Linked DNA regions of Bombyx mori. The protein of the gene in region 1 purifies or fractionates together with the protein of each later gene. This does not show direct contact. Links are inferred from orthologs where the notes say so. Each region holds a gene or a part of one and is shown on either strand. Other genes may lie near its edges. The genes, in order: pre-mRNA-splicing factor syf1 homolog and RNA helicase aquarius.

Evidence for each region.
Region 2: the proteins of pre-mRNA-splicing factor syf1 homolog (region 1) and RNA helicase aquarius fractionate together in Homo sapiens (co-fractionation; 3 studies listed by BioGRID and IntAct, with this or other methods). This does not show direct contact. The link is inferred for Bombyx mori from reciprocal best matches to the Homo sapiens genes XAB2 and AQR.

The regions. Positions count from the first base shown.
Region 1 is NC_085110.1:13,376,715-13,381,247, reverse strand, and holds the start of pre-mRNA-splicing factor syf1 homolog, read left to right. Parts: upstream 1-1,419; 5' UTR 1,420-1,759; coding exon 1,760-1,798; intron 1,799-2,033; coding exon 2,034-4,523; 3' UTR 4,524-4,533. Other genes in the region: zinc finger CCCH domain-containing protein 13, read right to left, coding at 1-450. UniProt on the Homo sapiens protein: Involved in pre-mRNA splicing as component of the spliceosome. Involved in transcription-coupled repair (TCR), transcription and pre-mRNA splicing.
Region 2 is NC_085131.1:6,792,599-6,796,429, forward strand, and holds part of RNA helicase aquarius, read right to left. Parts: coding exon 3,819-3,831; intron 2,624-3,818; coding exon 2,406-2,623; intron 1,363-2,405; coding exon 1,193-1,362; intron 1-1,192.

The DNA.
Region 1 (4,533 bases):
TCGCATGTCTTTGTTTGAATCCATTTTCATCTGTAATTCTAGTTCACGCTGCAACTGCTGTCTTCGTTTTTCGAGGACATCTGTGTCTGCATACTCTAAGTCATTTTGGTCCCAGTTATCGATTTCTCCTTCGGGGCTTTGACCTGACCGCACTATAACAGTAGAATGCAATCTAGTCTTCCCATCATCCTTCACTAAACGTTTCTGATCATTGTCTTTATGAGCTGCGCGTTGTTTAGAAGGACTGATAAGAGTATGCGTAGAAGCAAATTTACAACTTTTGCCGTAAGCACAGCTGCCGTGTTGGGCCCACTGTCTACAATGTTCAGTTGTTTTTTTAGCACTTGATGATTTCTTAGTACCGAGCCGATCAAACACACTAGGTCTAATAGAGAGATCTTTCGTTTTCGGCAATTCAACAGATATTTTTCTTTTTCCTTGTTTTGACATTATAGTAGAAATACATTTGTATCACATTAAACTAAAAAAAAAGAACTAAAAAATAATCTTCTCTAACCGGCACGGTGAAGTCAAGTAAATTAAAGGTTTTATATTTTTTACAAAAAGGAATTGTACAAACATTTATTTATGGTCTATTATCTATGACAAACGCTATTATTTGGAGCGATTTTTTTCTACTAGTTTCTCTTAGTAGGCAAGCGGAATGTAGTTCTCGTTACATAAATTAATATTTACTTAAATCTTTGTTTAACAACACGTTTGCATGCAGTACGGCAATGGATGGCCATAATTCCTAACATAGCTTACAAGTTACAATCAGCTTACATCTCAAACTCAAATAATAAGCGTATTATCTATGATAGCTTACAAGGCCCAAGGCAAAAGCAGAAGCGCTTTTACACGTGGAGTAGATAGGTAGGGCTCACTAAATTTGGCCCCTCGTTTTTTGATTTTTGGATTTTTTTTATTTTTAATTATTTGTTCGTCGTTTGTTCGTTAATTTTCGAATGTAAAAATTGTTTGTTCGTCTTTTAATTATTTATAATTAATTAAACAAATGATCTCCCTTAAGTTGGGCCCCCCCTTACTAGATATCTTTATTTTCATCGCTCAGATTAATTAATTTTGATCAGTTACATTATTAAGCCGCACAAACTAATACTTAAATTAGTTATCTCACAAGTGTGTATAATCTATAGATACTTAAAATTTATGGTATAATCGGATCTATTCCGTTCTTTAATCTATAATCGGATTTTTGGCAGGAACGCGAGGAGTGAAATTGTGTGATTTGTTTTATTTTGTTTACTTAGTGTTTCTTCAAGTTTAAATGTGTAATAACGGTGGTTTATTAACTGTTTAATATCTGTGAAAGTGCACAAAAGTGGGAAAATGAAACAAAGCCACTGGACGTAACTTTTCGGGATTCTCCAAAAAGTCCACTGAATCAAAATTCTCAGTAAATGACCACCATTTTACTTAGATTATATTTCATCTCACATCATCTCATCTCATTTCATTTCACTCCATATTATGATTTTTCATAAAAATTAAAATATAAATTAAAATAAAACATGACCTAAAGGTCTTAGTTACCAGGTCATAAAATCTCTTAAAAAAATAAGGTACAATCTATGATATTGTGTGTCATAGATTAAACACTGAAGTGTGTTCCATAGATTATACACATAATATATTTGAGTGTGTTCTAAAGAAATAGAATTAAGCTAATTATTCAATTACTCAACTGTTTGAATTGAATTTATAGTACCTACGGTACATATTCGAAAGCTTTAGAATGCCTCTTCTAGACGGAAAAGAAATCGACATATTCTTCGTAAGTTCAAAAATATTTTTATAATTTACAATGCTTAGTGTGCATACATATTTACTTTTGCCGACATATGAAAATACAATCAACAAATATTTTTTTCAACCCAAATTCAATTAACAAAGAAACCTTAATATATCAACTGCTTTAAAAAATCTAACCAAAGCTTTTGTGGTTTTCTGGTACGTTGATATCAAACATTATTATCATATTAATTCAAATAAAATTGTTATTGTTACAGAGTGAAGAAGATCTTCCGTATGAAGAGGAAATCCTAAGAAATCCATTTTCTGTCAAACATTGGCTTAGGTACATTGAACACAAGAAAACTGCACCCAAACATGAAATTAATATGATATATGAACGAGCTTTAAAAGAATTACCAGGATCTTTTAAACTTTGGTATAACTATCTTAAATTAAGAAGAAAACAAATAAGAGGTCGCTGTATAGCTGACCCATGCTATGAAGATGTAAACAATTGCTTTGAAAGGTCTTTAGTATTTATGCACAAAATGCCTAGAATATGGATGGATTACTGTTCATTCTTAACAGATCAGTATAAAATAACTACAACAAGGAAAGCGTTTGACAGTGCTCTTAGAGCTTTACCAATAACTCAACATCATAGGATATGGCCTCTTTACTTAAATTTCTTGAAGAAACACAATATACCCGAAACAGCTGTAAGAGTGTTTCGTAGGTATCTTAAATTATGTCCTGAAGATACTGAAGAGTATATTGACTACTTAACTTCAATAGATAAATTAGATGAAGCTGCAGTCAAATTGGCTCAACTAGTTAATAATGAGAATTTTCAATCAAAACATGGAAAGTCAAATCATCAACTTTGGAATGAATTATGTGAATTGATATCAAAGAATCCTGATCAAATTCATTCTCTGAATGTCGACGCTATTATCAGAGGGGGATTAAGACGTTACACTGATCAGCTAGGCCACCTGTGGAACTCTCTTGCAGACTATTATGTTCGAAGTGGTCTTTTTGAAAGAGCCAGAGACATTTATGAAGAAGCTATACAAACTGTGACTACAGTGAGGGATTTTACACAAATATTTGATGCTTATGCACAATTTGAGGAATTAAGTCTTAGTAAAAAAATGGAAGAAGTTGCCAAGAAAACTAATCCAAGTGAAGATGATGATATTGATTTAGAATTGAGACTTGCCAGATTTGAGTATCTTATGGAAAGAAGGCTGTTACTGCTTAATTCAGTTCTACTTAGACAAAATCCACATAATGTGGCTGAATGGCATAAAAGAGTCAAATTATATGAAGGTAAACCCCATGAAATAATAGATACATATACTGAAGCAGTGCAAACTGTAGACCCTAAATTAGCTGTTGGTAAACTTTTCACACTGTGGGTTGGATTTGCAAAATTTTATGAAAACAATGACCAAATTGAAGATGCCAGATTAATTTTTGAAAAAGCTACACAGGTAGCATATGTTAAAGTAGACGATTTAGCTTCAGTTTGGTGTGAATGGGCTGAAATGGAAATCAGACATGAAAATTATGAGCAAGCCCTAAAATTAATGCAAAGAGCCACTGTTTTACCAAGCAGAAAAGTAGCATATCATGATGATTCTGAAACTGTGCAAATGAGGTTGTATAAATCACTAAAGGTTTGGTCCATGTATGCTGACTTAGAAGAGAGTTTTGGTACATTCAAATCTTGCAAAGCTGTGTATGATCATATTATAGATTTAAAAATTGCTACTCCACAAATTATTATCAATTATGGATTATTTTTAGAAGAGCATAATTACTTTGAAGAAGCTTTTAGAGCATATGAAAAGGGTATTGCCTTATTCAAGTGGCCTAATGTGTATGATATTTGGAATACATATCTAACAAAATTTTTAAAAAGATATGGTGGTTCAAAACTTGAAAGAGCAAGAGATTTATTTGAGCAATGTCTTGAGCATTGTCCCAATGAATTTGCAAAGTCTATTTTCTTATTATATGCAAAATTGGAAGAAGAGCATGGTTTAGCTAGACATGCAATGTCTGTATATGAGAGAGCTACTACTGCCGTTCTACCTGAAGAAATGTTTGAAATGTTCAATATTTATATTAAAAAAGCTGCTGAAATTTATGGAGTTCCTAAAACACGACAGATTTATGAAAAGGCTATTGAGACTCTTCCTGAAGAGAAGGCTAGGGAAATGTGTGTTCGCTTCTCAGAAATGGAAACTCGCCTAGGTGAAATTGATAGAGCTCGGGCAATATATGCACACTGTAGTCAAATGTGTGATCCTAGAATTACAGCTGATTTTTGGAACACTTGGAAAGAATTTGAAGTTAGGCATGGTAATGAAGATACAATGAGAGAAATGTTAAGAATTAAAAGAAGTGTGCAAGCCACATATAATACACAGGTGAATATGATGTCTGCACAAATGTTGAGTTCTGCAGCACAGGCAGCTGGTACTATATCAGATTTAGCACCAGGTATGAAAGATGGAATGAGAATGCTTGAAGCCAAAGCAGCTGAAATGGCAGTACAGAGTAAAGGCAACATTCTATTTGTGAGAGGAGAAACCCAAGGACTTAAAGAGAGTTCTGACAAAGTAGTGAATCCTGATGAAATATCAATTGATGAAGAATCCGATCACAGTGATGATGATGCTGAAGAGGATCCAATCCAAAAGAAAGATGTACCAACTGCTGTTTTTGGAGGACTTGTCAAGGATAATGAAGACTAGACTACTGTCT
Region 2 (3,831 bases), on another chromosome or scaffold:
TTTTAAATCAGCATATATGTATACTGATAAGGCGTATTTGAAAGCCTGCACGGTTAGGTACCAAAATTCAGGTCTTTTCTGCCACGAAGCAGTTATGCGATTGAGTCTTCGACCTCATGTCTCAAGGCGGATGGCGGCATCTTGTGATGCCTATAAGATGCCTATAGGTTGTGAGCACTCATTGAATGCTAATAGATCGTAAGATTTTCTTCTCATCTACATTAATATAATATGAAATTACATACATATTAAACGACGCATATGTACATATATTACCTACACTCAATACACGATAAAAGTAATTGTATCTAATTGACGTACATACGCTTCATCAGATCGCGTGGTTTTCTGGGAATTCAACAAGATAAATTCTGACGCATCATGACGAATTCTATTTTAAGATTTTTACTTTTAGTTTTTAACAAACAGTGCGAATGTCAATTTCTTGGACACTGTTAAATCCATTTCACAGTGTCAAAGAAATGTAGGTATCAATGTCTCAATATGAAGACATTTTAAGATAAGTTTATATAATATAGTAGATAAGTAAAGAGTGGAAAGTTATCGTTGTAAGGGGAATATATGCAGTAAGAGGATGCTCGTGTGGCCAAAAAGACCTTGGGTATAAAAGTAGACGGTAATATTCTGACGTCATCGAGTCAATAACTAGTCGGAACTATCTTACAGAGCGTTTAACGAAACAACACTCTCCTCAACGCATAAAGCAATTGTTATCACTCCTTTGGTACAAATAAAACTATTTATAAACCTAACAATTTAAAACTCAATGAAACGGAAAAGCGACACTGAAAAGAGACAAACATATATCTATACGATTTAGCATGCGAGAGAATGAGATAGAAACACTTCGGAAGGTTTCGCTTCTATGGCGCGTGAATTTTAGACGTGTTTTTTTTTTCAATCCATCTTCAGTTTGATTCGCAGACTCACGCTTCCCATGACCATGATACTACCAAGATAATAGAGATACGATTCCGATCGTGTAGTAGATTCATTCGCGAAGCTATTGCTCTTGAGTTGTTAGGTCTCCTTCGGAGGCGCTCGGGCAGTTGTTAGCAAATCCCACCCCTCCTGGCTGAGCCTTTGCTCGGCCACCTCACCTGGTGAAACTGGAAAGGCCTCCGGGCCACCAGTAATCTTTCAATCATATATAAAAAAAATATATACGAACCTCGTGTAATGAGCTTGACCGGGATCTCCGTAGCCCAAGACTATATCGTGAAGCCAGTCCGGTACAACGCATTCGGTGTTCATTAATTCTCGTATCGTTTCCAATACGGCCTTGAAGTTGTTCTCTTTCGGTTTACGACGCATAACTATATTGAAAGTCTCGTACACGTCCTGCGATAATCGTTTTAAAATAACGTCACCGATTTATTATATCGGTTTAATAAATCGGTGACGCTTTCGCGCCTTAACCAATAAATCGCGCATCACTAAGCACATACACGTACGTTGTCAGGGGTACATAAAAAGGACGCCTTTCATTCAAAAAGACAGTGCTGTTCCTGTTAGATATATGTAGACGTTACCAGATTCACGTAAAAGCTTTCATATTACTTTAAATCAATTATTTATTGGAATTTAAACGGTTACCAGTAACCAAATACATCACGCTTTGAATAATGACATCCACGATGAGTGAAGTCTCAATTATAATTGAAGACTTGAGTGGATGAAGGGGTTAAGTACCATTTTTAAGAATTTTGAGTTTTTACATTGAATGAAGGCGTTATGTGTCTATAAACCATATTAGAACTTAAAACTCCGGGTTTAGACGCTTTTTTTAGAAATTGCATGTTATGAAGGAGTTATGTTCGAATAAAAAGTACAAGTACCTAACAAAAATTTGATGCCCGTTTTCGCAAAATTATCAAATTATATCATATCCCCTTCATCCACTCATGTCCTCAATTCACGGCGGCTTTGTGGCGGAAATAGACTAGACGGTGTTACCATGCGACAATACGCCCCAACAACAGGTCAGATCCATGTGAGTTCACCTAGTCATTCGGCAAATCTAGTATGACCCCTCGGGGTCACTAGAGTATAAAAAAAAAACGCCACAACATTATCGTGCATTTTTTTAATTGATTTCATTTTATTAGCCCCGTTATTCTTTCATCTTGTATTCATTAGCGAACATGTAGTAAGTGCGTATTTCGTTAGAAAAATTAGTACCTACATGCGGGATTTGAACACCGGTATTATCGCATCGCTCGATACGAGTACACTAGGCGCCTTATCTTTTAGGCTACGACCACTATTTACTTGCGATCATCCGTCTCTTCTAGAAGGTCCCCACGATTGGGTCCCAGTAGATGCGAACAGGAGTTTGGTACAAAACCCAAAATAGAGTCCTGAACAATAATTGTTATAGTTACCTCATTCCCTTTACTAGCTCTGTCCAAGTCAAGTCTGTATTGGTTAGGATCGAGTAAGAGCCTGAAGGTCCTGGAATCTCCCTCTAACTCCGGCCGCGGTTCCGGCCCGTCCTCAATGACTCTGCCGGATGCGTCCAGCATACCTTCAACTTCGCAACCCCTCACGTACACTATCCCCGCCTGATCCACCATACTCTTTCTGTAGTCATACTTTGTACCTATAAGAATTTTCAAATCTGAAGCTGAATATGTCTATATAGTAGAGAGAACTATCTTATAACAATATGATATCAACGACTGATGTAATTTCAAATCAATCGGACGAATAATACGCAAACAGAAAAAAACGTGTTTTATTCTTTCTTCTTCTTCCTTTCCTTGTCCTACTTTAGGTGGGGTTGGGTCTTCTAATTCGTCTACACTGGGAATTTCTATCCTGTGTTGTCATGCTGTCAAGTCGGACCTCATTCAGAGGTCGGGATATATTGTTCCGCAATGTCCCCTTGCCTTTTTCAGACAGCTCCATTGCTTGGTGAACGGCATAGTCATTATGCGTACGCATCACTTATCCTTACTATCTATGACGAATCTCTGAGAGTTTTTGAGCAATTGGAGCAACAATTTCCTCGTATGTGCTTCACGTTTTATTTCACGTGTATTACTCAGTGAGATAATTTAAATTTTATTTCTTACAACGAATCGGATCGATTCTAGGAATGTCGATGGTCGGGACGTAAAAAACAGAAGCGCACTTGAATTTCAAAAACAGATGCCTCGAATTTATTATGGGAAAGACCTTGATTCCGTTCTAAGTCGGTGAGTCCCGACACCACATCATAGAAATTGGGGAAACCCAAACGTCGGGGCGCCGTGATAGTCGTCTAAATATTTCGGAGAGCATTTCTTGGCACAAATAGACAACATAAATACAATTATATCACAACAGCATAAAAAACAAATTTAAAAGTAACGTAAGCAGTCTATCAGAACACGATATTTTCTCAAAATCATCTATACTATAATATTCTAAAGCTGAAGAGTTTGTTTGTTTGAACGCGCTAATCTCAGAAACTACTGGTCCGATTTGAAAAACTATTTCAGTAATAGATAACTCATTTATTGAGGAAGGCTAGGCTATATAACATCACGGCAAGACAAGTGGCGCACCAATAAATAATGTTTCAAAATAGGGGTTTAAATAGCTCCTTAACATTCTATAATTCAAAAATATTTTCACTTTCTACGTAAATGAAGTGGGGGTAGAATTTAGCGTTATGCCAAAGTAACTATTCCACGCGGACGGAGTCGCGGGCAAAAGCTAGTATACGATAAAATCTTGACAAAAATGAACTAAATAAATTGCAGACGAATTTATTGTATTCGCAAACTTAATGGTTCTTAAAGTTACCTTACCTATGCCTTGTGT